Coturnix japonica: one gene and its partners. The protein of the gene in region 3 purifies or fractionates together with the protein of the main gene of each other region. This does not show direct contact. Links are inferred from orthologs where the notes say so. Each region holds a gene or a part of one and is shown on either strand. Other genes may lie near its edges. The genes, in order: PHIP, COPS8, CUL4B, DDB2, WDTC1, HDAC2 and EZH2.

Region 1 (4,246 bases), on a different chromosome or scaffold from region 3:
GGGCTCGAATCCCGGGGGTTGGACTCGATGATCTCTAAGGTCCCTTCCAACCCACACCAGACTGATACTGTAATTAGAAATGAACAAGTTTCTGTCGAATGTAACAAGTGAACAACACTTCTTTGTATCAAATGTAACCCACACCCTGCAGATACACCCCTGCAAATGAACTTCTGCACCGGTTTTCAGGAGCCTGAAACGTCAAGTGCTACAAAGTTCACACAACTTTGACAGGGAAAGCTAAAGCCAACATAAGGAAGAGAGGATCCAACACAAAGTAACCAACTTCTTTTCCTCCTCTCTCTCAATTCCCAGGCAGGACGAGGCAGAATAGGAAAACTTCCTGATCAACGCTTAATACTAGAAGAAAGTCTTAAGAATAAAGGAGGAGGAAAAGAGAAAGGATCCAATCACTACCATATTCTCAAACACGTGTACTCATGCTCAAGGCCAAACTGTAAGATGCACATGTTACGCTCTTACACACTTCCACTGGCTAAATGAGGTATTTACCTACATTCCAGCAAACAAAAGATACTTGGAAAGAAGAGTCTGAATGAGCTCATTTTTCATTAAGACTTCTTAGCTCAACCTTTCCATTTTCTTCCTTGCTTTCTCTGTCCACGTTTTTCTTACACACTGATGACTCAGAAGAACCCCAAACCCATTCGACACCAAAGCTGCACCTCTGGTCTTTGAAACACAAAACACATTAAGAGAAAGGTTCACGTCAAGTTTTACCAAGTCATGGATGATCACTGTTTGAAATAGATAACATGGTCTTAAAAAGAATGAATTAAAACATATTCATTAATAGTTCAATTGGCCAAGTATCAGCACTTTAAAATTCCTGGTAGAGTTTCTTTCTTAGCTTTAATATCAAGAAAATGAGAAAGTGTCACCATCCAGGAACATGTTTCCCACAGGCCAATCGCTCTCAGTGTTTTGACACCCACGTGTGTTACAATGCACTGGCCAAACCTACTTCATGGTTTAGAAAAAGAAAACCACAATGCAATAAATAAAGTGTTCCAAGCGCAGTCAGCACCCACGATTCATGTTGTGCCATTCACCTACATGCGTCTAGAACAACACACATGTGAGCAGGGCTTAATGGCTGGGATGGGGGCTGCTCTTTCTCCTGAGGGGTGAGCTCTAAGTTCACAGTATCATAGTCTTGTATGGGTTGGAAGGGACCTTAGAGATCATCGAGTCCAGCCCCCGGGATTCGAGCCTCTGTGTAGCAGAGAGGCACTTCTACCACTTGCGCCACAGCTGCCTGAGCTCAGAACCAACGCATGCAGCCTGGAGGGAAGCACTACTGGGACAGGCATGGCTCAGCCTTCCAGGGACACACCATTAGCAGGTAGAGGCTGAATTACAGCACAGTACTGAAAACAGAACTGGCAACAAGTTGCTAAGACACCTAAAGTTCAGCTTCCCAACTAGCACCAGAAAACAGAGGTGGATGGATGGATGAATTGAGGCCCACCGCTGCTAGTGAGAAATACACCACGGCAAGCAGCACCTTGGCTAACCTGCTGTGAGAGCACAAGGTAAGAACAAAAAGAGGATTTAGAAAACAATAATAATAAGGAACCCAAGAGCAAAACACCCTGCATCTGCACTCAGAGCCTGGCAGCTCAGCTCGGCCCGCTCTGCACTTCGGATCCACGGCCCCCTGGCACGGATGGGCCCCTGGCAATGGATGTGGCCGTGCGGATGGCCGCGGTTCGGAGGCATTGTGTGCGCGGGGCGCTGCCGCCTGCTGGCGGTACAGCTGGCGCTACACCCGGCGCCGCTACCGACCGGCGGCCCCGGCCGCGCGCCCCCCGCTCGGCCCCGCCCCTCGGCGCGCCCCCGTGACGCGCTGCGTGTCCGTACGGCGCCTCCGCGCCTCGCGCAGTGCGGCCGCGAGCTGCGCCCCTCCAGAGCGGCGAGAGGAGACGGGGGCTCGGCGAGATCCCGACACATAAATACGGCAATAAAGAAAATGAAAGAGGGGGGGGAAAAAAAAAATAAAGAAAGAAACAAGTTCGGAATATTTTTTTTTTCAAGTTTTTTTTTTTTTTTTTTCTCCTTTTCCTCCCCTCCTTCTTTTTTTGCGGGAAATTCAATTTTTATCGGGTAGGCAGCTCAGGGAAGGGGAGAAAAAGCAAAGGGAGAAGCGGCGAAGCCCCGCACGCAGAGCGCGGCCCGGCGGTGCCTTACCAGGTTCTGGTAGCTGCGCGGGTGCTCCTTGCCCGTCCAGTCCGTGCGCTTGGGCAGCAGCTGCGGGGGGAGCGGACAGTGAGCGGGGCCGGCCCGGGGGCGGGAGGCAGAGGGAAGGGGGGGGGGGGGGGGGGGCGCCGCGGGCGGGGCGGGCCGCGCTTACCTCTTTCTCCGCCACTTCTCGGATCAGGACCTGCGGCAGCAACAAAAGGGGACGGGGGGGGGCAGGGAAGGGGCGAAACGGAGAATAAAATTAGGAAGGAGGAAAGAGGGGGCGGTGGGCGCGCGCCGCGAGGCTCCCCCCCCCCCCCACGCTCCGCCGCCTCCTCCTCCTCCTTTCCCGGCCAGGCCCGGCGCCATCCGCCCGCGCAGTCCGTACCTGAGCCGCTTGCTGGCAGGGCCCGTCCTCCAGAAAGCGGGCGATGAGGAAGTAGAGCTCTGCGGGGAGAGGGCAGGGTGAGGGTTGCGGCTCCCGGCCCCGCCGCCCGCCCGCCCTTTCTTCCCCCCCTCCCGCCCGGCACTCACCCGCTCGCAGCTCCGCCGTGTGCCTGCCGCCGCCGTCCCCGGACATGGCGAGGGGCGAAGCGGGATGTCGCGGGGGGGGCCGCGCCCGTCACCGCCGGCTCCGCGGGCAGCGCCTGTGCTCCGGCATTCGCCCCGCGGGCAGCGCGGCGGCGGGAGGAGGAAACAACAACTCGCGGCCGCCCGCGACGCCGCCGCCACCGCCAGCAGCCGCCAGCGCGATCCTTCCGCACGGAGAAAGAGTCCCTTCCTCCTCCGCTCCGCTCCGCGCCCCCCGCCTCAGCCCCGCAGCGCGGCGCCCCTCCCCCCAAGTCCCCGGGCGGGGAGGGAGGACGGGCGGCCCGCGGCTCCCGCCCCGCCGACACCGAGGGGAACAGCGTTGACCGGCGGCCCGGGCGGCTCGCGAGGGGAGAAGATGTCGGAGCGGCGGAGGCGGGGCGGGCGGGAAGGCGGCGGGCGGGATGAGGGGAGGCCGCTTTCTCTTCTCTGCGCCGAGCGGGCGGGCGGCCGGAGCGCGGAGGGATACGGAGCGAGCTGCGATGGGAGGCGGGGCCGAGCGGGCAGCGGGAGCCGGGAAGTGGCCGAGCGGATGGCGCAGCGCAGCGCAGCGCAGAGCCGAGCCCAGCGGGCACAGCGCCCCCGGGCAGCGCCGCTTCGGAGGGGGCGGCACCGCGACCCTCCTGCTGCCTCCCCCTGCTGCTCCCCGCCGGCTCCCCGCGAGGCCTCGGGGCGTGCAAGTGACACGGCGCTGCGGTTCCTTGTGCTGCTTGCAGGACAAGAAAGAAAAAAATATATATTGTTTTTCCGCTTTTTTAAACATTTTGCTTTTTTTTTTTAATTGTTTTTATTTTAATCGTTCTTCTCCTCGCAGAAAAAAAGCCGTCAGAGCGATCGTGGCGCCTTGAATCGCCGCTCGGCCTCGGACGCGCCGTGAGGTAAATAACTGCCGGCCGCTCGGGGCTGCGGGCACGGGTGGGCCGGACCGGGGTAAAAGCGGTACAGGTAAAGCGAGACCCGTGGTCACCCTCCATTTATAAAAGGTAAATAAATAGAAATGGACGACGATCGCCATCCCGGCCCGGTAAGTCGCGGTGTCACGGAGCGCTGCCATCCGTTTCGCGTTGTGCCGGCCCGGCTCCGCGCTGTATCCGGAGCTGGGCACCTTCCGTGCGGCTCAAAATGTCTCCCCTTGTGTACCAGCTCCCGTTCTGTCTTTGGGCTCCGTTTGAAATAAACGCTTTGAGCTGAATCGAAATGGGCAAAATTGGATCATCCGGTGTCAAATAAAGGCTGATGAAATGAAGTGACTCGGGTCGTTCTTAGCGCTGCACGACGTGTACGGTATCGTCTCTCGGAGGTGGCTCTCACAACAAAGGGCTGTGCGAGTGCTGCCATTAACATTTTAATTTCCCCTGGTGTTTACATATAGGAAAGCTCACTAATGTACGGCATCAACCTACCCCACGAGGAAGAGGGGATTTGTATCGGTTAAGGAGTCTGAAAGCAGATGAAA
Region 2 (4,205 bases), on a different chromosome or scaffold from region 3:
CAATCCTTTCAAGCCAAAGAGATCTCCCATTAATTTAATCTGTCCAGATTTGCCAGGGGCCACATTTTTAGTGCTTAAATCAAAGAGAAGCTCCCCAAAACAGCAGATGACCCTGTGAACCCTGTGAATGACCACTGAACTGACCCATTCAGTCACTGGAGATACAAGATGGCGCCCACAAGGCCATCAGTTGACATGGGAGGGGACAGCCTGTAGGAGCTGGGATTTATAGATGAATCCTGCTGGAGCTGAGATGAAGATGAGATATAGGGATGTATGATGTGCTCTCCAGAGGGCAAGGAGTGTGAGGAGTGGCTGGAATTCCATGGAATATTTCACTTCCAGAGGCTGTTCTTCACTGGGTGGAAGCTCTCATCTCTCCCAGCATGGCTGTGAGATATGGGAGAGGTGGTAAAGAGGAGGGTGAAAAGCAAACAGAGAGAAAGAGGGGTGGGGGGAGGTTGGGGGCAAGAAAGGGAGAGGAAAGGGGTACTTCTAGCTATATTGCTTGCATGGAATCTGTGGTTCTGGTGGTTTGGGAAGCTCAGCTAACAGCACTGGAAAGCAGCAGCTTCTCCCTCGTCCCAAAAGCTTAATGAAAGACTGTAAAAAATAATATATATATATATTATATATATATATAATTATTATTATATATATATATATAAGGGTGCCTGGCTGTCTCAAACCAGAACAAGATTCTGTCATGCTGGGGACAGCGGGACACGTGGAGGCGACCAGGAGATGAACTAGAGCAAACTGGAGCAGAACAACAAACCCACCCTCCTACCTCCCCGTGTTTTATGCCTTTCCCTTGCAGCTGGTGCCCTCTTGTGGATAGCTCTCACCACTCCATTTTTGCCCGAATATATCTATATATCAATAGATATACACCTAGGATACGCTTAGAGGATGTGCATACACAGAGATACCCCATTTTTGCTATCCCATTTTTGCCGTTTTTAAATGGATGTATGCACCCTATCTCTTGCATATATGTATATACACATATATGTATATATGTTATATATTATACACACATATATATATCACATGTATATACATATATATTATATATTCTACATATATATGTATATTATATGTATATGCATATACATATATATATGTATGTATCTCCTAGAAATATATGTGCGTAGATATGGAGATATATGTATGACTATAACATCCTACACAGAGATATACGGGCTGTACCACAGTATCCAATCCACGTGTAATCCCTTTTATACATCATCCCATAAGCAACGCATAATAGTGGAACCCAGCCCATTTGCAACCAGACCCACGTTAATAAGAGATAGAAGCCAACCCCCCAGCCCTCCCCTTCCCTCCCCGAAGTCCTCCAGAGCATTAGAGAGCTACAGAGAGCGGAGGTGCGTCATGGCTGAGACGGAAATGACGGCAGGCGCGGCCGCCGCCTGAGGGGGGCAGTTGTGTCGGCGGGACGATGCCGGTGGCGGTGATGGCGGAGGGCGGGTTCGGCTTCAGGAAGCTGCTGGAGCAGTGCGAGACTCAGGAGCTGGAGGTGCTGGGGGCCGCTGTGGGGTTGTGGAGGGGCTGGGGTTGGAGCTGGCCGCTTGTGCCGGCCCAAAGGGCCTCGGGGCTGCGGGAGAGTGAGAGCGCTGCGGTGTGGGTTCCTCACAGCGCTGTGGTAATGGCCGTCACACCGAGCTGCTTTATAATGCTTAACAAAGGGATTTGTGCTTGTCCTTTAGGCCCCTGGAGGAATCGCTACACCCCTTGTTTATGGCCAGCTCCTAGCTCTGTACCTGCTGCATAACGACATGTAAGTGGCTCTTGTTAATCTTTAACCTCAGGTCCTGGAGCTGTTACTATTAGCCTGATGCAGATTGATCTGCAGTTATTAGGTTACTAACTAGTCGTGTGACTAACAAGGTGCGTGTAAGTAAATGCTGCCAAGAGTTCCCCTGTGTTGGCTCTTCCATGTTAAAGAACTGTAGTCCTTTAACAATCCATCAGGCTACGTTTAAAAGTAAGATTTGGATTCTTTCCACTTAAAATTTTATTGAAATAGTGTTTATTCATCCAGGCAGAGTCAGTGGCGCTGTGGGATATGAAGACACTCGGCTCGTTGGTCTAGGGGTATGATTCTCGCTTAGGGTGCGAGAGGTCCCGGGTTCAAATCCCGGACGAGCCCTTCTTTTCCAGGTTGGAACTAGATGAACCTGAAAGGTCCCTTTGCAATCTAAGCCATCTTATGATTCTCCAAGGGCAAATTCCATCCCGTGTTGAGGTTGTGTAGTAGGTTCATTCAAGTTAATTTTGATATGATACTGTAGAATTGTGCCATTAACAGAACTTGTACCATTAACAAATTAACTATCAGTGCTTCATTTTTAGCTCTTGCTCTATAAGTTTCTATTTTTGTTTTATAATACATCAGTGCATTAGTATGTGTGTGAATTTATTAATACATGAAGGTTGGTGGGGGGTGTGCTCAAGAAAGGCACTGACAAGTCTTTTAAACTTTCTTTAGGAACAACGCACGGTACCTTTGGAAAAGAATCCCTCCTGCTATCAAATCTGTAAGTACTCCATGAAATTCCACTTGATACTAAACCATGTAAGCTTGAAAACAATGACTTATTTCCTCTCTTGAGGTTTCTATTTAAGTAGCTTTGGGCTTGGTTCTGTGCTGTGAACACATTACCAGCATGCTGGCCTTCCAAAGATCTTCAAGTTGCAAATCTATCTATTCCTTCTTTTCCTTCTCAATTAATCTCATGACGTAGTTCTCTAAATCTAGAGGTTTTATTATAAAGCCTCAAGTTAAAGAGTAGTCAGCTGGAGGAAAGCAGTGACTCTGCTCTAAGTATCTGATTCTGGGCTGCAGTTGCCCTCCATGTGAGGATGCAGAATACTTTATGCAGTGAGTTATAACTTGATGTTAGTTGTACCCTCAGATTTCACTTTCTGAAGGTGCTTTGTTTTGCACCGCCTTTGGATCCAAGACGCATTTTGAGGCTTTAGCTACTTAAATCAAAGATATTAGTCTATTACCCAGGCTGGTGTTTGGTTACTCTGGTGGAATGGTGTTCATTCTCAACCTGTTGAGCAATATGCAACACAGTAGCCCTTAAAACCAGTAGTGGGAAAACAGTGAGCATGATACCATTTTAAGCGTGATCCATGTTCAAGACTTTCAAGCTAAATTGCTTTCACTATGCAAACAGCACCTGCACTCTGTAAAGGCTATGTTGAAGAAGGAGGCATCTCTTTGAGGAGGGAATAAGCTGTGCTTGTCCTTTGGCAGCTCCAGTCAGCAGACTGAGTACAAACTATCCTCTTTGGCTTTAGCTGCTTTGCCAGCCTGAATTGATACAACTGCTGTGAGCAGACTTTGCTCATGTGAGTGATAATCTTTGGCAGAAGGATGGGTCAGGAGTGATAACAGCAATGGTAGTTATTAAAACAAGAATTCCCAGTGCTCCTCTCTTCATCATTATGTATATCTCCTTGCAGCAGGGAAAGGAAGGCAGTAGGAATGAGTTTGTATGGAATGGTCTTTGTAGAGGACAGACAACTCTAAATTAACTGTTTTTGTCATGACAGGCAAATGCTGAGCTTGGTGCAGTTTGGTCAGTAGGACAAAGAATCTGGCAAAGAGACTTCCCAGGAATCTATACGACGATCAGTGCACATCAGTGGTCTGAGACTGTTCAACCAATCATGGAAGCACTGAGAGGTACAAACTGAATTCCTGCAGGTAGCATGTAACCTGAAGTTATCTGTGGATCACAGAATCACAGAATGACCCGGGTTGGAAGGGACCTCAAGGATCATGTAGTTCCAACCCCCCTGCCTGGCAGGGCCACCAAACATACACCTTTACTAGATCAGGTTGCCCAGGGCCCCGTCCAACCTGGTCTTGAACACCTCCAAGGACGGGGCATCCACAACCTCCCTGGGCAGCCTGTTCCAGGGCCTAACCACTCTCCTACTAAAGAACTTCCCCCTAACATCCAACCTAAATCTTCCCTCTTTTAACTTAAAACCATTTCCCCTAGTCCTGCTATTGTCAGCCCTTTCCAAGAGTTTACATTCTTCTTGGAATTTCAAATACCATTTGTTTTATTCTGTGGTAGCACAATGGACTAGTAGATACACAACTTGCTCAAACTCATTTAACCAAGAATGCTGGCGGTTTGGTTTGGCGTTTCATAAGC
Region 3 (3,500 bases):
AAGTACGGTGAAATAGCTGCAGGGGTCAGAGTGCTGCTTAGAAGTGAGGCTGGCAGGGCTATGCGGGCAGCTAGCAAATCAGGAACATCCATCTTTCTTGCTCTTTGTTGTCTCCTCCAAAATAAGTGAGAGAAGTAGTAGTCTGCTTACTGCACTCGATGGAACTTTATCAGTCTCTTTAAATTTGGTGTTTTCAATCATTGTTTTCTTCTGAAATCAAAGTAGCCATTAAACAGCAGCAGATCTTGGGAATTAATGTTGAGCCTACCCCTATGGGTGGTACAGCACGATAGAGTTGATTGTCCTTCACAACCTACTCTGAAATGTAATCTGGAATGTGTTCTTATTGTATTGTTGTGTTTGTTTGGGATTCCTTCCATGTTAAGAGTTAAATTTATTGCTGTTTACAAATACTAAGATCTGTGTATTTTGACAATTTCTGTCTTTTCTAATAATCCGAACTCAGATGTCACATACCTGGCTCATATTTCTGTACATTGGTGCTTAGAAGATGCTGGCTCAGCTTTAATTGTCACGCTTACTCTTGCTCTACCTGTTTCTTTCTGTCGAGCTTATGCAAGTTTGATTTTCCTGTTGGCAGTGTTGGCTGGTTTTTATTTTGTTCCAGCTTTGCTGTGTCACAGAGCCCATATTTACTGACTGCACTTGTGCTGCCTACATCAAGAAGTGCTGTGTACCCCAGGAGTGATTACCAGTTTAACTGCTTTGATTATTGCTGTGCTTGTAATGGTGGCTGTTAGCAAGTATTTGAGGGGGCTTCAATGTGATGGAATAGGCGTGCTCTAATAAGACCTCATGTTTTAATCTGCTCAGGGCACAGCTCTCCTTTGTCTCTCAGTACAGTTGCAATGTCTTGTATCTCTAGTGTTTGGCATGAAGATGATGGACTCTGAGTGAGAAGCAGAAGAATCCCATGTCTTTTTTTTTCCTTGTAAAACCACATGTGAGAGCATAAACAGACTTCTTATAATTGCTTTCTCTTTATTTCAGGCTGTTGAAAATCTCTGCTCCTACAAGATTTCAGCAAACTTGTACAAACAATTGAGACAAATCTGTGAAGACCACATTAAAGCACAAATTCACCAGTTCAGAGAATATCCTTTTTAGCTGTTGACAAGCCAAAATGTTTTTACCTGCCAGTTTGTAGTGATGGATTTCTCTAAGTAGTTCATGACACTGAACTATGGTGAGCTGAATTCCTGGTTTTTGCATAGTTGGTTCTAAAGGTGCTTTTGTACGACCTCGTGAAGACCAATTCTGGTTCCTTTGTAACCATCTGCAAACTTGTTGAGAAAGTTTCATTAGTTCTTAAGAAACATTTTGACATTTTATAGAAGTTCAGATTAGACTTCAGAGTAAGACTTGAAAGACCGTTCATTGTATCACATGCTGAAATTGCCTCGTTCAGGTAAATAGGAAAGTTGGAGCAACTAGTTCCTGTCTTGTTTGAAAAGTCCTTCTGGTCTGGGGAGGTACGATGGTAATGGTTCTGGGGATCAAATTATGCTTCATCTGGAGAAGTCTGGAGTTGCATCAGAGTGAGATCCTGTTAAGTGGGTTTTGATTGCTACCTGAATTATGCTGCAAGCTGAATTTTGAGGACAAATTTTATCTCCTGATGTTACCTGTTAATGTGAACAGAAGTTACTGTACCTGTATTGTAGTAGTGGGGTCTTATATAGGAAGGCTGCTCTAAAGGTAATGCCTCCTATTTTATGATGTTGATGGAATGGCAATAGAGGCCGAACCTTCCCACCAGTGTCCCATTATGTTGTGTGGCCATGTGACAGATAACAGCAGAGGGATACTCTGGCAGAATGGCACCTGACATGGGACTGTGTAAGGAGCAAAGGGCTGGAACTTAATTCTTAATTCTTTCACGCAGTAAGAATGCACACATTGACATTCATTGACACTTGGTGATCATGGATGGATATCAGATAGTAGATGTGAGCACAGTGAGGGCTGGTGCGGATAGTTATGAGAGTGGCATGCAGGCTTCTGTTCATGGCTGGTGCAAATGCAGAGCTAGTGGTGGTGGTGACTGTTGAAAAACAGTGTTTTGTGGCTGTGACTTTGCTCTATTGTGCTCTATCGGCTAGTGTTACTGTGCCCCTTCTGGTTGTTTCTGTGGAAATAAATAGGAGGCGTTACTTTTGGAGCAACTTGTGTATGTTGTGCATTACTGGGGTCTCAAGTGTATGGGTTTTCAGTGTTCTCTACATATGTCCTCACCAAGATGTGACACTGGACAAAACATTCAAAGTTAGAGTTGTTGGGGTTTATCATTACTGAAAATAGTATGTCTGTACTATGGCCTGCATTGGGAATTAACGACTTGAAAGAAATTAGGTGGTTCTACTTGGTACTAGATGAGTTGTGTTGTTAAGTGGTTTTTTTTTTGTTTGTTTTTTTAATTAAATTCAATGCTAATGCAATCTGATAATCATAATTTTCTTAATGATTTCTTCATGGATTCATTGGATAGTGTTCTTTTTCTAAAGAAAATAGACAAATGTTGGCAAGATCACTGCAGACAAATGGTAAGTTTTTTTTCTTTGTGAAGAAACGCAGTTTACTAGTCCAGCTGATGCTTTACTTAATTCTGTTCCTTTACCAAGGAGACGTGCTTCTGAGACATTGCCTTATATTTTGATAAGGCTTCTTTGTGAAATACATAGTATCTAGTATATTAGAAATAGAGACTTGAAAATATGGTGGTGTATTTCTTTATGTGGTGTGACATTGGAGCAGGTGCCTATTATGAAAGAAGCTATTTTTCTTTTCCGGGGGAGGATGCACAATGTCACATTGAATGTCCCTCTGGGATTGGCAACGTGCTTGAAACTTCACTTGGGGAATTCTTTGTTGTTGTCATTGAGCATAATTTGTTTTGCTCTTCAGTTTCAAGAGTGAAATAATTGTGACTCTTTTAATTTCTTCTCATCCCAGATTATGATTAGAAGTATTTTTTTGTTCTTGGACCGAACTTACGTACTTCAGAATTCGATGCTGCCATCTATTTGGTAAGGTCAAAAAGAATAACATAATGAGGGGGTTATTTAAATTATCACTTGTCTGGCAAAGTACTTTCCACTGACCTGTAAATTAGATGGTGAATATGTACCTCCTTCTTGCATTTTTAATATCCTTACCGTGAATTGCAGATTCTTTTAGAATAACTAGAAAATAATAGAAAATAATAGAAAGTCTAAGCTAAGTAGATACCAGCATCCAGTTTGCACAATAAAAAGGAAAAGGTATGTTCAGCAACTGAAGTGCTAGGGTTTGGCTTGTCTGGTTATTGCTTCTTACGTGTTTAGTATTCTTTGAATGTTTTGGAAGGCAAAAAGTTACCTAAAATAAGAACAAATTATTCTTCCTCTCTTATTCTGGTAATTGAGCAAATGCCCTTCGATGCCATTACCATACTGTGTTTGGCTCTTGATTAGGAGCTAAACTATGCGAATTACTTTGCC
Region 4 (3,500 bases), on a different chromosome or scaffold from region 3:
ATTGTCATTCCTACAGGGACTTGAAGAGTCTCTTAACTTTTGTCCCTTTGTAAATTAAACAGGTATATGCTGGGAGGAGATGTATCCTCCGAGAATTCCAGAGTCATCTTTCTCTTTTTAATACTGTGGTGCCAGCCAGCCAAGGAATACAGTACTTGGGGACCGGAGGAGTTACAGTTTTATTGTCTGGAAGGGCTGCTGCCCAGACAGTTGCTGTGTGGGAAGGCATGGTTGTCTTTGCCTCCTGGATGGCTGTAATGTGTTTCACTGTTGCTGTTAAGTACATAGCAGTGATTGCAGATTTAGAGAATGCATTTCCCACCTTCCCCATCACTCAGTGGATTTTTCTCTTGTTCATCCCCTTCCTTGTAGATGGGAGCTGGAGGGGCCATCACAGGAATGAAGTTTAACCCTTTTAACCCTAGTCAGCTGTACACTTCATCACTTGCCGGCAGTACCACCCTGCAGGATTTTAATGGCAATATTTCACGGGTCTTCACCTTCACCGAGAACTGGGAGTAAGAAATGCAGCAATGTTTTGGGCTTCTGTGTCCTGCTGTCAGGAGCACTGTAAAGAAAGAGAGAGAAAGGGAGATGCTTGACTCTTGTATATGGGAGCGGGGCTTTGTCCATATACATGTCTTTTGTCCTCTAAACTTCAGAGATGCTCTCTGTATTCAGGGAGACTCACTTTCTCTTTTTATTTTTCTCTGAAATGGGGTGGTGGGTACGAGAGAGCTTTTCTTCGTTAAGGGGAGGGCTGTAGATGTTTGTTTGCGTACTACTTGTTACACAAGGGAGTGTGGGGTGTGCCTGTGGGTTTCTTCAGCTAAGTTCCATAGCTCTGCCCTGGGACCTTCCAGCCTCCTGACCTGGTAGCAATGCAGCTCAATGCCAGATGTATTTTTTACTGAATAATCTCTTGTTCCCCCAGTACTTCTCCACAAACACCACTGACTTCAAGTGGTGCATGTCATAAGAATCCTCCTGATTCATTCCACCTAACTGTTGTTGCTTATGTAAAATGCCAAAATTAAGAGTTGGTGAAATGAGGAGATGGATCTCTAGAGGCAATTCTATCTGCCTGTGCTTAGAATCACCTGCTCAGTCTATTCTGTGGACTCATGAGGAAGCCTGAGCTCTTCAATTAGTTAATTCTGTTCAGTATTGAAAGGTGAGTGAGGAGAAATTGGGTTAGCCTCCTCTTTACATTTCTCCACCTAACTGTTTTGGTAGCAGCTTTTGTGGTTGGCTTCCAAACTGTCTGTTCCAGTCTTTTCTTAAGGCAGAAGGTGATCCGTGGTGATGCTGAGGTGACTAGATAGGTGAATAAGGTGGGATAGACCTTGATCCTGTCCCAGGGTGGGTCTGGAACTTGTATCCCGATGAAATGCCCATCACACTAATTCCTTCACACCATCCTAATCATCCTAATGCCCGTCACTCTAATTACATCACATCATCTTTCTTCCACTGCTGCGAAGACAGATAAGCACTGGGGCTTTTTTGTTTTCATCAGCCTCTTTATAGATAGTATTTACAGTGCATCTTTATTAAGTAGCTACTCTATGAGCAGCAGAGTGACACTCTGGAACTCAAGTTTGGGGACTCCCAGTCAGCATCCTTGTTTTCTGTCTTTATTTCTGTAGGGTTTCCATGTTTCCTCAGAAGACAAGCTGGGAGAAAACAGCTCTAGTACGAGGTTCTTGTGCCTTGTAGTTAGCAGTAGGTGGTTCACTGCACGTTTGTCCTGCACCCAATGGAGAGGAAGCAGTACTGCTAATGAGGTTTGCAGCCCAAAGCAATGGGGTTGAACCTACAGATACAGAATGTATGTGCTTAGGTTGGAAACAGATCAGAGAGTTCTTGTTAGAGTCCCCTGCCAGAAAGCTGAAAGCTGTGCGTTGTACTGAGAGAATCCTGCAGTGTGTTCCAGAAGATTGGTTGTATTTTTTCCATTCTAACCTTGATACCTTTTGGCTTTGTATGTATTCCAGAAAGGGCCAGGAGATTCTCTTGGAGGCATGAAGTTCAGTCCTTATGAGTCAGCGAAGCTTTATGTGGCATCAGGGGATGGCACCCTAAGCCTGCAGGACCTTGAGGGCAAACTGGTGCAGGTGATCTCCCGTGCCCCGGACTGTGGCCATGAGAACCATAATGTTTGGTGAGAAGGGAGCAGAGTCAGGTTAAATCTCTGCTCTGTAATCCTGTGTTAATGCTGTGGCTCTGGTCATGCAAATGTATGCTTCTTTGCAAGTTTTAGGAGATTCTTGATACGAATTGGTCATGTGAGGGAGCTCTCAGGTAGGCTCCTGGGTCCCTCTCCAAGACTACAGGGTGAGTGACAAGCAAGGCAGCCACAGGGCATTTAGCTTTCAAAGTAGCTGAGTACACTGCATCCACCTTCTGGTGTTGCTTTCTGGCAACACCATCTTCCATCTTGTAGATACTGACAGTGCTTCACTGTATAGTATATGAGGCGAGAAGAACAGAGTAACTTTCTTCTCTTCATTGTGATCAGTGGTTTGTGTTTTTTTGTGTGCAGCAACTCAGGCAGGATAGGAATTCCAAAAAACCATTCCTGCAGAATCTGAATTTCATCTTGGTGGGTTTACCCTACTTTCCCTGTGAGGAGTTCAGGCTTTCCATGCTAATCTCTTCCATCTTCAATTCAAGGATAATTTAGCTGTGCAAGCAAAGCTTTCCCAACAAGTTCCCAAAGGAACACAGCTTTTCTCTTGCTGGGCCTAGCACCCCAGCAGAGGTGTGGTTAAGAAATATGTCTTTATGAGATAAGCCTCTATTCATGATTGTTTCTAGGAGCATAAAGTTCAGATAGCTTAGAAATGCAATTTTCTAATCCTGGGCTCTTGTCTTTTCTTTCCCATCTCTTCCCTGTTTTGTGGAAAACTATTTTAAAAATCCATTTCTATATATTTGCCAGTGTCACTTGGGTCTGTCCATGTGAAGTTTATGAGTGACTTTTCAACCTCTATTATATTCCACTGTCCCAGCGTGCCACACTCCATCTATTGAGCACTTCATAGATGCCTCAGGAATTATTTCATATTCAGTCACCAAAAGCTAGCATTGCTGATAAGCCACCCCCTTTCCTGCTGTTCAGGGCCATAGTATCAGATCAGAGAGAAGATGACAGATGCAATCTGTTGCATTCTCCTTTGTCAGAGACAGGGATAAGGTGTGAACTAGAGCTCTGCTGCCTTCACCTCTCTGTGGGAGGTAGCACTGACCTTGTCTCTTTCCCTCCAGCTGCTGGTACTGCAGTGTTGATGTTTCTGCAAGCTGCCGTGCTGTGGTGACAGGTGATAATTTGGGCAACGTGGTCCTGCTCAGCACTTCTGGTGAAGAGGTTAGTGTGACTCCACGCAGTGGGTTTTTTTGGGGGAGGGAATCTTCATGGCTTGTGTACTTCCCTGCACTACAGGGGCCTGGAAAAGAAAACAGATGCCTTGCAGTTGAGAAGATGAGTCTGCCATTGT
Region 5 (3,500 bases), on a different chromosome or scaffold from region 3:
AGACCATGCTTCTCCTACGATGCTACAGCCTGATTTGATTCCTGTTCTTTGCCCAAACACCAGGAGCAAATACAGCCCCTAAGACAGAGACCGCCTGACAATCACGCTAACAAAGCAAGTGGGTTTGCACTTCACACCTTGTTTAGGAGCACCTAACCCTGCAAAAAGGAAAAGGATGCGACCAAAGCCTCACGCTTTCATTTAGGTAGATCTATTGCCTTACCTCACGTGTGCTCTTCCCTCTGACAGGCGGAAGCCATTGCTGTGGAGATGGATGCCATTCGACACTCCATTGGTAGAGGTTTTCCCATTCTGCACTTCTAAAGGTTAGGAAAGAAAAGATACAAACATGCCACTCATCAACATGGATTATACAGATTAATCCCTGAAACTCTGGGGTTTAATTTTACAGCACAGCTGAACCAATGCCACAGCACCATTCAGAGCACAACCAAACAGGCTTCACAATTCCACACATCCCTGTCTTCCAGCTGCTTGGATTTGATTTGTCCTCTTATATCTACCACCAAATCTCTACCACTTCAGAGGCTGGGAAACTGAGGACACCATCCAACTGCTCAGCAGAACAGCTCAGAGCTCTCAGTATGCAGAGACGTGCATGCACATGAAGTACACGTGCTGCCTTCTCATAGTCCTTGCCTGAACTTTCTGTACCCAAAAGGGTGGAGCATTTGTTGAAACCATACCACTACAAACCTGTTCAAACTTTTTCCTGCCATGTAAAGTATGACCTCGCCAGATACCACAGCACAGATCACCCGCAGGCATTCAGGACAGAAGAACAGCAAGCAGGACATCTATTTGCTACCAGGATGTGAGTGGTAGATTAAGGCCCAAGGCGAGCTGAGTACACAGACTGAACCCTGAGAGCAGAGCTGGGCAGGGAACACTCCCTGATAAGAGAGAGTCGGCCTCTGCCCCAGGGACAGAGCACTAGATGTTCACTGCGTAGTGCCTGCAGGGTCTGTGTACCAACAGGCCCTGTAAGAAACAGGGCAGGGAATAAAAAGGCTCTTGGATTTACTTATTTGTCAAGTAAATGGCTTTTTGAACCAACTAGCTTACCAGCAGGAGGGAGATTAATGCCAGGCCACATTCTTAGACCAGGAAAGAGATTGTTCTGTCTCCTTCCTAATGGGTGCTTAAAGGGATAACAGCTGCATTCTACATTTTATATAAAATCAAATAAAAACACTGCACCATTTTTTATGTGTCTGCATAAAAAGTTTTTCCCCCTTAGTTAAAGGCAAGGCACTAAGACTTCAATCACTCTACAAAGTCTGCCTTACTCTTTAGGTACAGCTTTAAGAGTTCTCAGTGCACACACACCAACAATTCTCAGCAGCTTTCTCCCCTCCAGACACACGTTTCCACAGAGTTTTGTCACCATGTGTAAGAGTTTTAGAGCTCAGAGTATGAGCTGCAATGCAGATACAGCCCACCAACAGCCATGCCCTACTTCCTTTCCTTCCTGCCTGCCCAAATGAGGGCTGCACAGTACACGGTTGCACTCTGCCTTCCACTTAATTCATGACAGCATCACACTTACCCCCTGAAGTATGGCATTTCTTTGGGAGGAGGAAAGTGTATGGCCGCTGTTTGTATGTGAGATCAAACAAATAGACCTAAGAAAAGAAGAAAGCAGTTGACAACAAAGTCAGTGATACACGGATGCTCAAGGGACAGAAATAAAACAAAGCTAAATGGTTTCACATTGGTGTTAGTAACATTGCCTATCTTCCATCCTGTTTATAGGCGTGTGCCCATAAAATAATGGCAGTGCCAGTGTCTTGCTGCATTCCAGCACTGCATTTATAAAGGACACCACTGAGAAACAGGAGCTTTGTCTTCTTCACAAGGTTCAAACCAACCCATTCACAAAGTTCAAACAAGAAGATATTTTAACTATTTCATTAACACAGTGATCACAAACAAATTAAACATGTATGGGCGGGTAAGCAGCAGCCCCAGAGCTTGGGTCAATGGTGAGCCAGCAAACACAACTGCACTTGAAGCTTCCTGCCAAACTCTTCCCTACTTCTTACCTGCTCCCCTCCCATGTTGACTAAGAGCTCGGTGCCATCAGGACTGAAGGTGACATACGTAGCTACAAGAACCCTCAGCCGGTTGTTGTAGTCTGGAAGCTTCACTGGAAGGTGTCCTGCAAAGGGAAGAGGTCCACAGGATTAGAATAACTCAGAACTGTTGCCTTAGTCCTACACCAGCCCTGTGCTTTTACAAGAAGTTGTTAGGAGAGCAAGAGCATAAAGCACACACAGCAAGTGATCTTCCATTTCCTATCACTGCCTGCTGAACTGGCAACCCAAACACTCAGATGTACGAAGCTGCCTTTTCATGTGCTGCATGTGCTATTTCTGCAAGGCTATTTCCATGAAATAGGGAAGACCAGATTTCAGCTAGCTTGCTAACTGAAGTCTGCAGAACCCAGCACATCCTGGTTTTATGGATTCATTAAGGATTTAGCTTCTGCGATTTGTGGCCAGCCACGAACAAACAGCTCCATTTCCGACTGTCCAATCAGGTTTCCTTAATAAAGCCCTTAGCACAATCAGACCAAGGCTCCTAAATATTCAGCTCACACAAGGGTTCTTTTGCTTCAGACAGCAGATGTGTTGCATGACCAATTCAGGGGACCTACGAAATCCTCTAGTGGGACTCATCAGAAGCAAAGCTGTCAGCACTGGTCTGTTGGACGTGTTGGTCTAAGATATTAATAAAAAAAACCAACAACCTACAGACATTTTGGGGAAAAATCATATACAATGAGCACTGGAGAAGAATGCCTTCACACTGCCCAGACAACGCATTCCTGACTCCTCAGCTGCAGAATGAAGACAAACCACTTCTGTGCCAGGAAGGCTTTAAACAGCACCCTCGCTGGAACCAGTTCCAGAAGGATGTCTAGACTCCTCAGGTTATCCAGTCCTCGACTTTGCAATAAAACTGACAAAAAGACACTGAAGACATTTATGCTAGACAAAGAGGAAGGCCAGCTCACCAACACACATCGCTGCCAAGTTGGGGAAAGCAGGCTGGTAGCATAAGCAAGAATTCACAGCACAGAAGCAAAATAATCTGCAATTCTGTACAACATCCCTCGATTAGAGAAGCGCTCTTTCAAGCATTGGTTCCTTGTGTGATGAGTAGAAGTCAGGCGTTAATCTAAAGCCCCATCAGTCTCCCCCAGTACCTGCCACGTAGTACTGTGCTGCGCCATCCGGGAGAGGCTTCTGCCGGTCGCAGAACGTGTGCACTCCAGCTGAAGGACACTGCTTCATGCTTTTTCTAGCCAGAAAGAAGACCAGTGTTACAATCACGGCATTCAAGCTGGAAGCCTGAGCCCTGCTGACACTTTCTGTTCATACATAAGCAGAAGCCCTCACAATCAGACCTGCCTCACACCACCCCACGTACTTGCTTGGATGAAAAAGACTCTGGGTGACAGAAAAGAGTGAGTA
Region 6 (3,500 bases), on a different chromosome or scaffold from region 3:
GTTTTTATTACTTTACCAATATAATAAGTGCATGTACAAACTAATGTAACAAAGCTGTTAACAAGGAATTGATTTATCCTTGGAGTGCTGTCACAGAGAAGCTGAAAGCAAGAGTATCAAGTGAAGAATATATTAATCTTCATATGTGAAATGATATTTCAATTTGCAAAGTGGAACAACTTCCTGTCCTGATGAGACAGAGTCTAATAGAAGGAATGGCTTAACTTACTTTAAAAAATAAAAATCTTAAGAGCCAGGCAAATTATTTTCCATTCTCAGCTGTGACTGAGATCCACCAGCAACTTAGATAATAATGCTTCACAGTCTGTTGTTCCCTTCTTCAAGTTAAATGTACTGTTAGTAAATCACCTGTGGAGCATGCTGATGTTTTACAGCAGTGGGAAGCATTAGAATTCAAAATGTACCTTATTAACGTAAGAAATAACAAGAAAAAAAACAAAAACAACTGTATTACTAAGCAAATCTAACACAGTAAAGTTGCATGAAAAATACTGTGACTACTAAAACTATTGTATACATTTATTTTAAGATCTGAATTAAGATTTGAAACCCTGTGATGTACAAAGACCTACTTTTCTCTATATCTGCAGAACTGAAAGGTACTGACTGTAATTACAAGTGCAGCACACTGCTCAGACAATATATCCAGAAGTCAAAGTGTTGGCTTAACTTATCTAGAGGGAAGCATAATTGCTTCCAGTATTTCTTCCTAAGGTTCCTCAACACAACTATTAATCCAGACAAACATGGTAACTTTACAGAAAATACATGTTATTATGGAGTATAATTGTGAAAGCAGTACAATCCACACGGAAGTGCATAAGAAGGAATTTATCACAATGAAATGTCATGCTCAATCTTACCCTAAGATCCCCCGTGCCTGGAAAATATTCACCATACTTATGGAAGGACACAGTCATGACACGGTCTGTGGTATAGAAAGCTTCCTCCACACCATCTCCGTGATGGATATCAATATCAATATACAACACTCTTTGGTGATACCTAGAAAGAAAATTACACATGTGAAATCACAATCTTCTGTTATGTCCATAAGATATCAATACCTACCAAAGAAAAATAGAAATAAATCACAGATTATGATAAAGTTTATAATTTTGAAGTTACCATAAATCTCAGAATTATCAGTACAGTTTGGATGATGGTAAAAATAAGCTCATCTTAAAGAGATTTTTATCACGCAACGCATTCAATATTTAACTGAGTTGTCCTAGTCAGGAGTAGTTTTACCTTTTAATCCTGTTCATACCAATTTCTGTTGTCCAGATCCTTTGAATTTACCCCTTTCATGGTACACTTTTGTCTAGTTTCTCAATGATTGCCAAAACATTCTGTAATGAAACAACTTGAAGTGTATGCCTTTCAAGAATTTTTGAAGAACCAGTGCCAGGAGCAGGTATAATCCATATTCCATAAATATTAAAATATCATTTTTTGCAGACTTATTTTCCATCAAATCTCCTTTTTCACCTCTGCAAAGACTAAAAGATATAAGCATGTTCTTGTTTCCAACTGTACTTACCATTAACATAAAACCACAGTATGGCTTAACAGTTCTTTGAATAGTGCAAGTTTCTGATCATTTTATTTGAGAGGAATAAAGAAAGCTGCTTCATGGCAAGAGCACTAAAAACTACAGTAAACGACCCTTAAATCCTGTGCTGTTCAGTAAAGAATAAAGTCTATCACCATCAGAAGACACTTTCACCAAATTTTTCAGTGCTATAAACTACAGAGCAGCCACAGTTTCCTGTGTGCTAAGATCTTTCTCTCTTAACAAGATACCAAATAGAACAGCTTCTTGCAGTGATATAACCCATATCTGGTTTGAAGTTTACTTCCTTCACATACAAGATTTAAAACCAGTATTCAAAACCAGACCACAGAAAAACCATATTGCTTTTATTAGATGGTAGAGACAATCACAATAGTTTTGGCTGGAAGAAATCACCTTGTTACAACTTCTATTGGAAGGGACATATTCCAATAAATCAGGCTGTCTAAAGCCACATCCAACTCTGCCTTGAACACTTATAGGGATGGGGCATTCACAGCCTCTCTCTGGGCAACCTCTTCCAGCACCTCATCACCCAGACAGTAAATAACTTCTTCCTAATAACTCCTTGTCCTATTGCTATACTCCCTGATGAAGAATTTCCCTCCAGCCCGCTTTTAGGTACTGGAAGGCCACCACAAGGCCTCCCCCTGAGGCTACTCTTCTCTAGAATGCAGAACCTCAACTCCCTCAGCTTCTCCTTATATCCTCAATATATGCATATTAAAATGAATGCTTTAATATGAAATACCTGTGCCTCCAGCAACTTCTTCCATTTTTAAAATTACTTCCTAGTTACAGCTATTTCCCTCTACTGCCTGCCACCAGCATATTCAGCTGCTCCACCGCCAAGCAGTCAAATGCCAATGTTTTTTGTAAAAAATAAGCCTTATGCGATTAGAAGAGATAAAGTCCCATTAAATACTGTAACTAATATTAACGACTTGAGGTTTTATTGACGCACTGTTGCTTGAAGGTAGTTTTGTGATCAATTCTGCATTACTCCCCTCTTCATTTATTACTCTACAACCAAAGCAGCACAGCTGTTATTTCATTGTTTTCTTAACAGCCACATTAACTTATGTAACAACACAAGAAATTTCAGTGTATGATTTTCCTTAGAATTCCTGTTTATTAGCAATGTCCTGAAAGATGGAAAATAAAAGGGCATAACTGAGAGATCAAATAGGTCTATGACTGAGAACAAAACACCTGAGGCTTCAGTGACCACTAGTCAGGCCAAAGCTCTCGACCACTATTCTGTCTCCATGAGTAGCAACAGAAGACAACTTTTACAGGAGAAAGCAAGCCTATCCATTTTCCAAGACCTGTTACCCAACATCTATAATTACAACATACGATATTTTTCAAGGGTGAATCACCTCTTGGTTCTTTCATAGAATCATAGAATCACAAGGTTGGAAAGGACCTGCAAGATCATCTAGTCCAACTGTCCTCCCTTTACCATACCTACAGAAAACTACTAAACCATATATATCTCCTAGCTCCCTATCCAGACGTCTCTTGAACATTGCCAGGGATGGTGATTCCACCACCTCCCTGGGCAGGCCATTCCAGTGCCTGACCACTCTCTGAGAAAAAAAGTTCCTTCTTATGTTCAGTCTAAACCTCATCTGATACAACTTGTGGCCATTTCCTCGGGTCCTGTTTGTTGGCTGGCAGAAGAGGCCAAGCCCCTCCTCATCACAGCTTCCCTTCAGGAAGTTGTAAAGTGCAATGAGATCTCTTTAGCTTCCATTTACAGATCTCCTGCCCAAGAACATGTCTAATTTTCAATCTAATGTCACCCACAGCTTCATTCAAGCTCCTGTAATAGTGATATCTAGAAGTTCACTACCCTTGTGCTTAAAAAGTACTTTAAGAACGTGTTTCAAAGCTATCT
Region 7 (4,274 bases), on a different chromosome or scaffold from region 3:
CCTACTTGCTAAGCCAAAGTTTCCTTGTAGATAAGCTGAAGTACATTTACATCTCACCTACAAATGCCATATCATAGAACAAATATAAACCCATTAGAAGGCATATTTCCAACAAAGTCACCCACGATATTTCAACTCATTGAAAATTCTAGGTAGAAGAAAATACCATGTGGAAAGCAAAAAATTTTGAATTTCTAGTCTCCAGCCTAAGCTTATAGACTATTGCTTTATCTGATTTTAAACTGAGCAAAGACTTTTAATGTTCTTCTGCCAATAAGTATTTTCAGTGTATGTCACTTTCAGAGTAATATTTTAGAATGTCTAAAAAAGTATTTTATTGCATAAAACTTTTGAATAATACCTCCTAAAGTACTAGAACCGTGTTTTCTGAAAGACACTGTAAGCCTTATCTATATTATTATGATCTAATATAAAGCAAGGATAGCTACCATACACTGTGGACAAGTAATACTCACCCTTCTGAAGATGCGTTATTGTTATCACAATTAAACATTCCCTGAACTCTCAATTTGATACAGACACTGGGGACAAACAAAGAATGACCTTTTAATTTTTACAAGTCACAAAGAACCGGAATGTGCCAAGCCCTAAAAATAATAATAATAAATTAAAAAATAATGGAAAAAAAGGGGGGTGGGGTAGGGGGAAAGAGGAAAAAGAGAAAAAGAGAGAAAGGACTTGTATATGAGGAAATCTCCGTTTAGAAGTTTATCGTGTACTAAAAATACCAGTAAAGTCTCGCTGAAGTACTGAACGGTTGGATCTGCAATTGCTCGACTTGCACAAAGACAAACCTATCCTGCAACAAATAAACAGACCAAACAAAAACAAAACCAAAAAACCAAACAGAGAAAAAAACCAAGGCCCTAGTTCCAATGAAATATACTGTTTCATAACTTTGAAAAAGTATCTTGAGCCAGGTACAGGTTCATTATACCATTTTTGCTACATTATGCTGAGACTGCTTTTCTTTCTGCCCATTCCTAATAATTTTTGGATGTTCGTACTTAACACCAGATACACATGCGTTGCGCTACAATACATTGATTTCATCACCTTTGTCTGATCACACACACGCCTGTTGCTCCAGCACAACTCCGTCCCTTTCACACCTCCCCAAACATGCCGATTTCAGAGATCGCCCCACACACCCGCGCTTTGCGACATTAGGTCTCCAACTCAGCAGTTCCAGCTCCCTCCGAACTCTGGAGGGCCGGTTAGCCGAGCAGCGCCCTTCCCGACGAGGAAGTTGGCCGGACAGATTGACTCCCGCGCCGTCCCCGCTCTCCCGCACTCGGTGCCCGTGAAACTCGCCGGGGGCTGGAGAGCCCCGTCGCAGACTGGCCGGCGGGACGGCAACGTGCGAGGGCGAGAGTGGGAACGCTCCGCTTCCGGGACACCGCGGGCACATGGGGCTGCCGCGGACCTACTCGCACCCCAGGGCGGGGGCTACCGCCGCGTAACAACTTCTGCACCGTGCTTCTCTCTCGGAGGGGGCTGAGGCGGACAGAACGGACTTGTCTTCGCGTTTCGGACTCACCGAGACCTCACCTTGCGTACGTTTAACACACGGATCCCCCCGCCGACCCCTCAGCGAAACCGTGCCAGAGGCAGCCGCCACCACAGGAGGCCGGCAGGAACGGGGAGGAGAGGAAACAGCCGGCTCCTACCCGCTCTTTCTCCCGCACGGCGCCAGTCGCCCCCCCCGCCCAAGGCTCCGCTCCGCCGAGCGCGGCGCGGCCAGGATGGACAGAGCCAACTCAGACAAAAGGCACCGTCGGCTCCGCGCCGCTCCCTCCGCTGTCAACGGCTGCAGAGCGGGCGCGAATCTCGCTGCCGCCCCCCACCCCATCCCGTTCCTTCAAGCGCGACGCGGCGCGCTGCTCGGGACCGAGGCGGTCGCGCCCTCCCTGTCTGCCTCCCCACCCCCCATAACAAAGGGAGTCGGTTATAAATAACTGCTCCCGGCCCGCAGCCCGTACGGTGGTTGTGGTGCTGCTGCCGCTGCCGTCCAGCTCACCCGTCCCCTCGCTCCAATCTCGTGCCACCGCCACCACAGCCGCTTCGCTCCCCGACTCTTCTTCCCTCCTGCCTCCGGCTGCCGGATTCACCCTCCCGGACCGAGCGCCAAATACAGTGGCCCAATCGGTAACACGTTCATTGGCGAGAGCCGAGCGCCGCCCCGATTGGACGGACGCGGACGGAGCGCCCCGAGCCAATCAGGGGCGGAGAGGGGCGGGGAGAGGGGCGGGGTCCGTGCCCCACGTGCTGGCGGGAAGGAGGGGTGGGGGAGCTCTTTGTTCTCGCGCTGCCGCCCGGGCTGGCGGTTTTGTGCCCTCTTTGCCCGTCCGTGTAGCTGAGCGGGCAGCGGGTCTGGAGTTTGAGGTGCTCCGGCCGCCGCCTCACGGGGACTGGGGAGGGGAGGGAGGCGAGGGGTCCGACGGGAGCGGGGAGGGGCCTCGCGTCTCAGTGCTGCTGAGTTTGAATCAGTTCGAAAGTGGGAGCTGTAACGGTTTTAACAGTCGTGCTGCTGCTTCCGCGCGCTGCAGAGAGGGGAGGGGACGGGACGGGACGGGACGGGACAGGACGGAGAACTGGGAGAGGCGCGTCTGCGACCAGGCGGGAAGATCCAGGCGGGGACTGGGGGTGTTGTTGGCAGGAGCTGCTTACCTCAGCACGGCCCGCTCCCTGCCCGTCGCTTCCGCGGCGGGCTCTCTCCTTCCCGGCATTGCGCCGTGCCGAGCGTTGGCTGGCTGAGTCACTAACCAGAGTACGTGATGCATCCTCCTGCCGTGTCATCTGACCTTTGCGCACCCAAACCTAGCACGTATCTGTCCTTTTGTTTCACGCTGTTGCTCACGAATTTTGGTGCCTTGCTGTTCTGTAACCAGCATGGATTCTTAACTGTCAAAATCCCATTGTGTCCCATCTTGGCAGTGATGGTAAATCACAGCAACAGCAAGGTGTCCATTCTGCATAAGGCTGGGATCCTGTTGCTAGTGATACACTGTCTCTAGCCTAAGGTTGCTACCATTTTCCCTCGTTTTTATTCTACGACTCAGTCACGTTGACAAGGAGGTACTTTAAACCTCAAGGATTCATTCCCCCTTAGCCTTCTTTTGTCTCACTGTTTGGCCACTGCAGCCCTTCTTTGTTGACTGGAAAAACAAAATTGCCAAGATAAGATCATGGTGGGAAACTTCCATGTATGCTTGTCACCATCTCTCCTTCCTAAGCCTCCTGTGTTCAGCACTACTTCTGAGGTAGAATGGATTGTGAGCCTTGTACCCTTACTGTCTGTTACCAGTGTTTCTCACCTTCCCTTGCAAATCACTTCTGATACATTCAACTACCTTGTCTCATCTTTGTGTGAAGCCCAAAAATTAGCACTGTCCACCATAATGAGGTTCTGAATGATAAAAATCCTATGAGAGAAGATCATTGACACAGCTTCATGCCCAAATCTTTCAGCTGCATTATAGGCCAAACAAGGATCAGAGTTCTTTTAATGTGGAACAGAAATTATTTCCTCTTATGTTTGCATGTCACGAAACGATATATTGTCATACTCTTTCTTTGATTCTACTAGAGTAGATGACCTTTTCCAAGATTACGTTAAAACTATCAACTTTGCAAAATGTCAGTCATTTCTTGAAATTCAGCTATTTAAATCTATTCTGCTCCAAGATGGCTGGCACCACCAAAATGGCTACCCAGTCTCTTCACAGCTTGGAACTTGTAGTTTTTTTATTGTTAGAATTGCACTTCATGAGATCTTATCTTAGTCTATATATATATATATATATATATATACAACTCCTGTGCTAAATAAGCATAGCGTAACTTTAAGCAAGCACTATAGTCAGTCACAAGGTGAAAAAAAGATGTGTGGAGACAACACTGAACTCAATTGCAGTACACGCTTCAGTTTTTGTCTTGCACAGAAAGTTATTCACCTGCTGTACGTGAAGCTAATGCTTACTAGAAAATAAAACACATTTTGAATGGAACTACTCTTTCTGTTTTGCACTCTGTGAAAACAATCTTTCCATGCTGCATTTCAGTTCTAGAAGTGATGAATCCTCAGTGAGGATCTCCACGAAGTGTCAATTTTCTGATCATATGGGCTATTTAAAATAACCTGGAGAATTCTGGCAGCTTGTTTCTTTTTTTCTGCACGTGGATGCTTAATGTTGTAATGAGCTGCTTATAGACTTTCTGTTTTCATGGAGTAAACCACCCAAACATTTTTC

What was found.
Region 1: the proteins of CUL4B (region 3) and PHIP purify together in Homo sapiens (affinity purification with western blotting; 8 studies listed by BioGRID and IntAct, with this or other methods). This does not show direct contact. The link is inferred for Coturnix japonica from reciprocal best matches to the Homo sapiens genes CUL4B and PHIP.
Region 2: the proteins of CUL4B (region 3) and COPS8 purify together in Homo sapiens (affinity purification with mass spectrometry; 7 studies listed by BioGRID and IntAct, counting the BioPlex papers as one, with this or other methods). This does not show direct contact. The link is inferred for Coturnix japonica from reciprocal best matches to the Homo sapiens genes CUL4B and COPS8.
Region 4: the proteins of CUL4B (region 3) and DDB2 purify together in Homo sapiens (affinity purification with mass spectrometry; 11 studies listed by BioGRID and IntAct, counting the BioPlex papers as one, with this or other methods). This does not show direct contact. The link is inferred for Coturnix japonica from reciprocal best matches to the Homo sapiens genes CUL4B and DDB2.
Region 5: the proteins of CUL4B (region 3) and WDTC1 purify together in Homo sapiens (affinity purification with mass spectrometry; 4 studies listed by BioGRID and IntAct, counting the BioPlex papers as one, with this or other methods). This does not show direct contact. The link is inferred for Coturnix japonica from reciprocal best matches to the Homo sapiens genes CUL4B and WDTC1.
Region 6: the proteins of CUL4B (region 3) and HDAC2 purify together in Homo sapiens (affinity purification with western blotting; 3 studies listed by BioGRID, with this or other methods). This does not show direct contact. The link is inferred for Coturnix japonica from reciprocal best matches to the Homo sapiens genes CUL4B and HDAC2.
Region 7: the proteins of CUL4B (region 3) and EZH2 purify together in Homo sapiens (affinity purification with mass spectrometry; 4 studies listed by BioGRID and IntAct, with this or other methods). This does not show direct contact. The link is inferred for Coturnix japonica from reciprocal best matches to the Homo sapiens genes CUL4B and EZH2.

The regions. Positions count from the first base shown.
Region 1 is NC_029518.1:72,502,559-72,506,804, reverse strand, and holds the start of PHIP (PH-interacting protein), read right to left. Parts: upstream 2,801-4,246; 5' UTR 2,783-2,800; coding exon 2,737-2,782; intron 2,650-2,736; coding exon 2,591-2,649; intron 2,405-2,590; coding exon 2,375-2,404; intron 2,272-2,374; coding exon 2,212-2,271; intron 1-2,211. Other genes in the region: translation initiation factor IF-2-like, read left to right, coding at 2,801-3,571.
Region 2 is NC_029522.1:4,153,717-4,157,921, forward strand, and holds the start of COPS8 (COP9 signalosome complex subunit 8), read left to right. Parts: upstream 1-1,405; 5' UTR 1,406-1,465; coding exon 1,466-1,543; intron 1,544-1,733; coding exon 1,734-1,804; intron 1,805-2,104; exon of another isoform or gene 2,105-2,176; intron 2,177-2,515; coding exon 2,516-2,564; intron 2,565-3,591; coding exon 3,592-3,724; intron 3,725-4,205. UniProt on the Homo sapiens protein: Component of the COP9 signalosome complex (CSN), a complex involved in various cellular and developmental processes.
Region 3 is NC_029519.1:15,299,821-15,303,320, forward strand, and holds part of CUL4B (cullin-4B), read left to right. Parts: intron 1-1,011; coding exon 1,012-1,115; intron 1,116-2,494; coding exon 2,495-2,564; intron 2,565-2,973; coding exon 2,974-3,047; intron 3,048-3,500.
Region 4 is NC_029520.1:20,669,466-20,672,965, reverse strand, and holds part of DDB2 (DNA damage-binding protein 2), read left to right. Parts: intron 1-1,997; coding exon 1,998-2,164; intron 2,165-3,270; coding exon 3,271-3,370; intron 3,371-3,500.
Region 5 is NC_029538.1:1,715,706-1,719,205, reverse strand, and holds part of WDTC1 (WD and tetratricopeptide repeats protein 1), read right to left. Parts: intron 3,328-3,500; coding exon 3,233-3,327; intron 2,183-3,232; coding exon 2,067-2,182; intron 1,647-2,066; coding exon 1,571-1,646; intron 321-1,570; coding exon 224-320; intron 1-223. UniProt on the Homo sapiens protein: May function as a substrate receptor for CUL4-DDB1 E3 ubiquitin-protein ligase complex.
Region 6 is NC_029518.1:58,978,486-58,981,985, reverse strand, and holds part of HDAC2 (histone deacetylase 2), read right to left. Parts: intron 1,027-3,500; coding exon 885-1,026; intron 1-884. UniProt on the Homo sapiens protein: Histone deacetylase that catalyzes the deacetylation of lysine residues on the N-terminal part of the core histones (H2A, H2B, H3 and H4).
Region 7 is NC_029517.1:75,450,826-75,455,099, forward strand, and holds the start of EZH2 (histone-lysine N-methyltransferase EZH2), read right to left. Parts: upstream 2,801-4,274; 5' UTR 2,751-2,800; coding exon 2,692-2,750; intron 2,216-2,691; exon of another isoform or gene 2,004-2,215; intron 1-2,003. UniProt on the Homo sapiens protein: Polycomb group (PcG) protein. Catalytic subunit of the PRC2/EED-EZH2 complex, which methylates 'Lys-9' (H3K9me) and 'Lys-27' (H3K27me) of histone H3, leading to transcriptional repression of the affected target gene.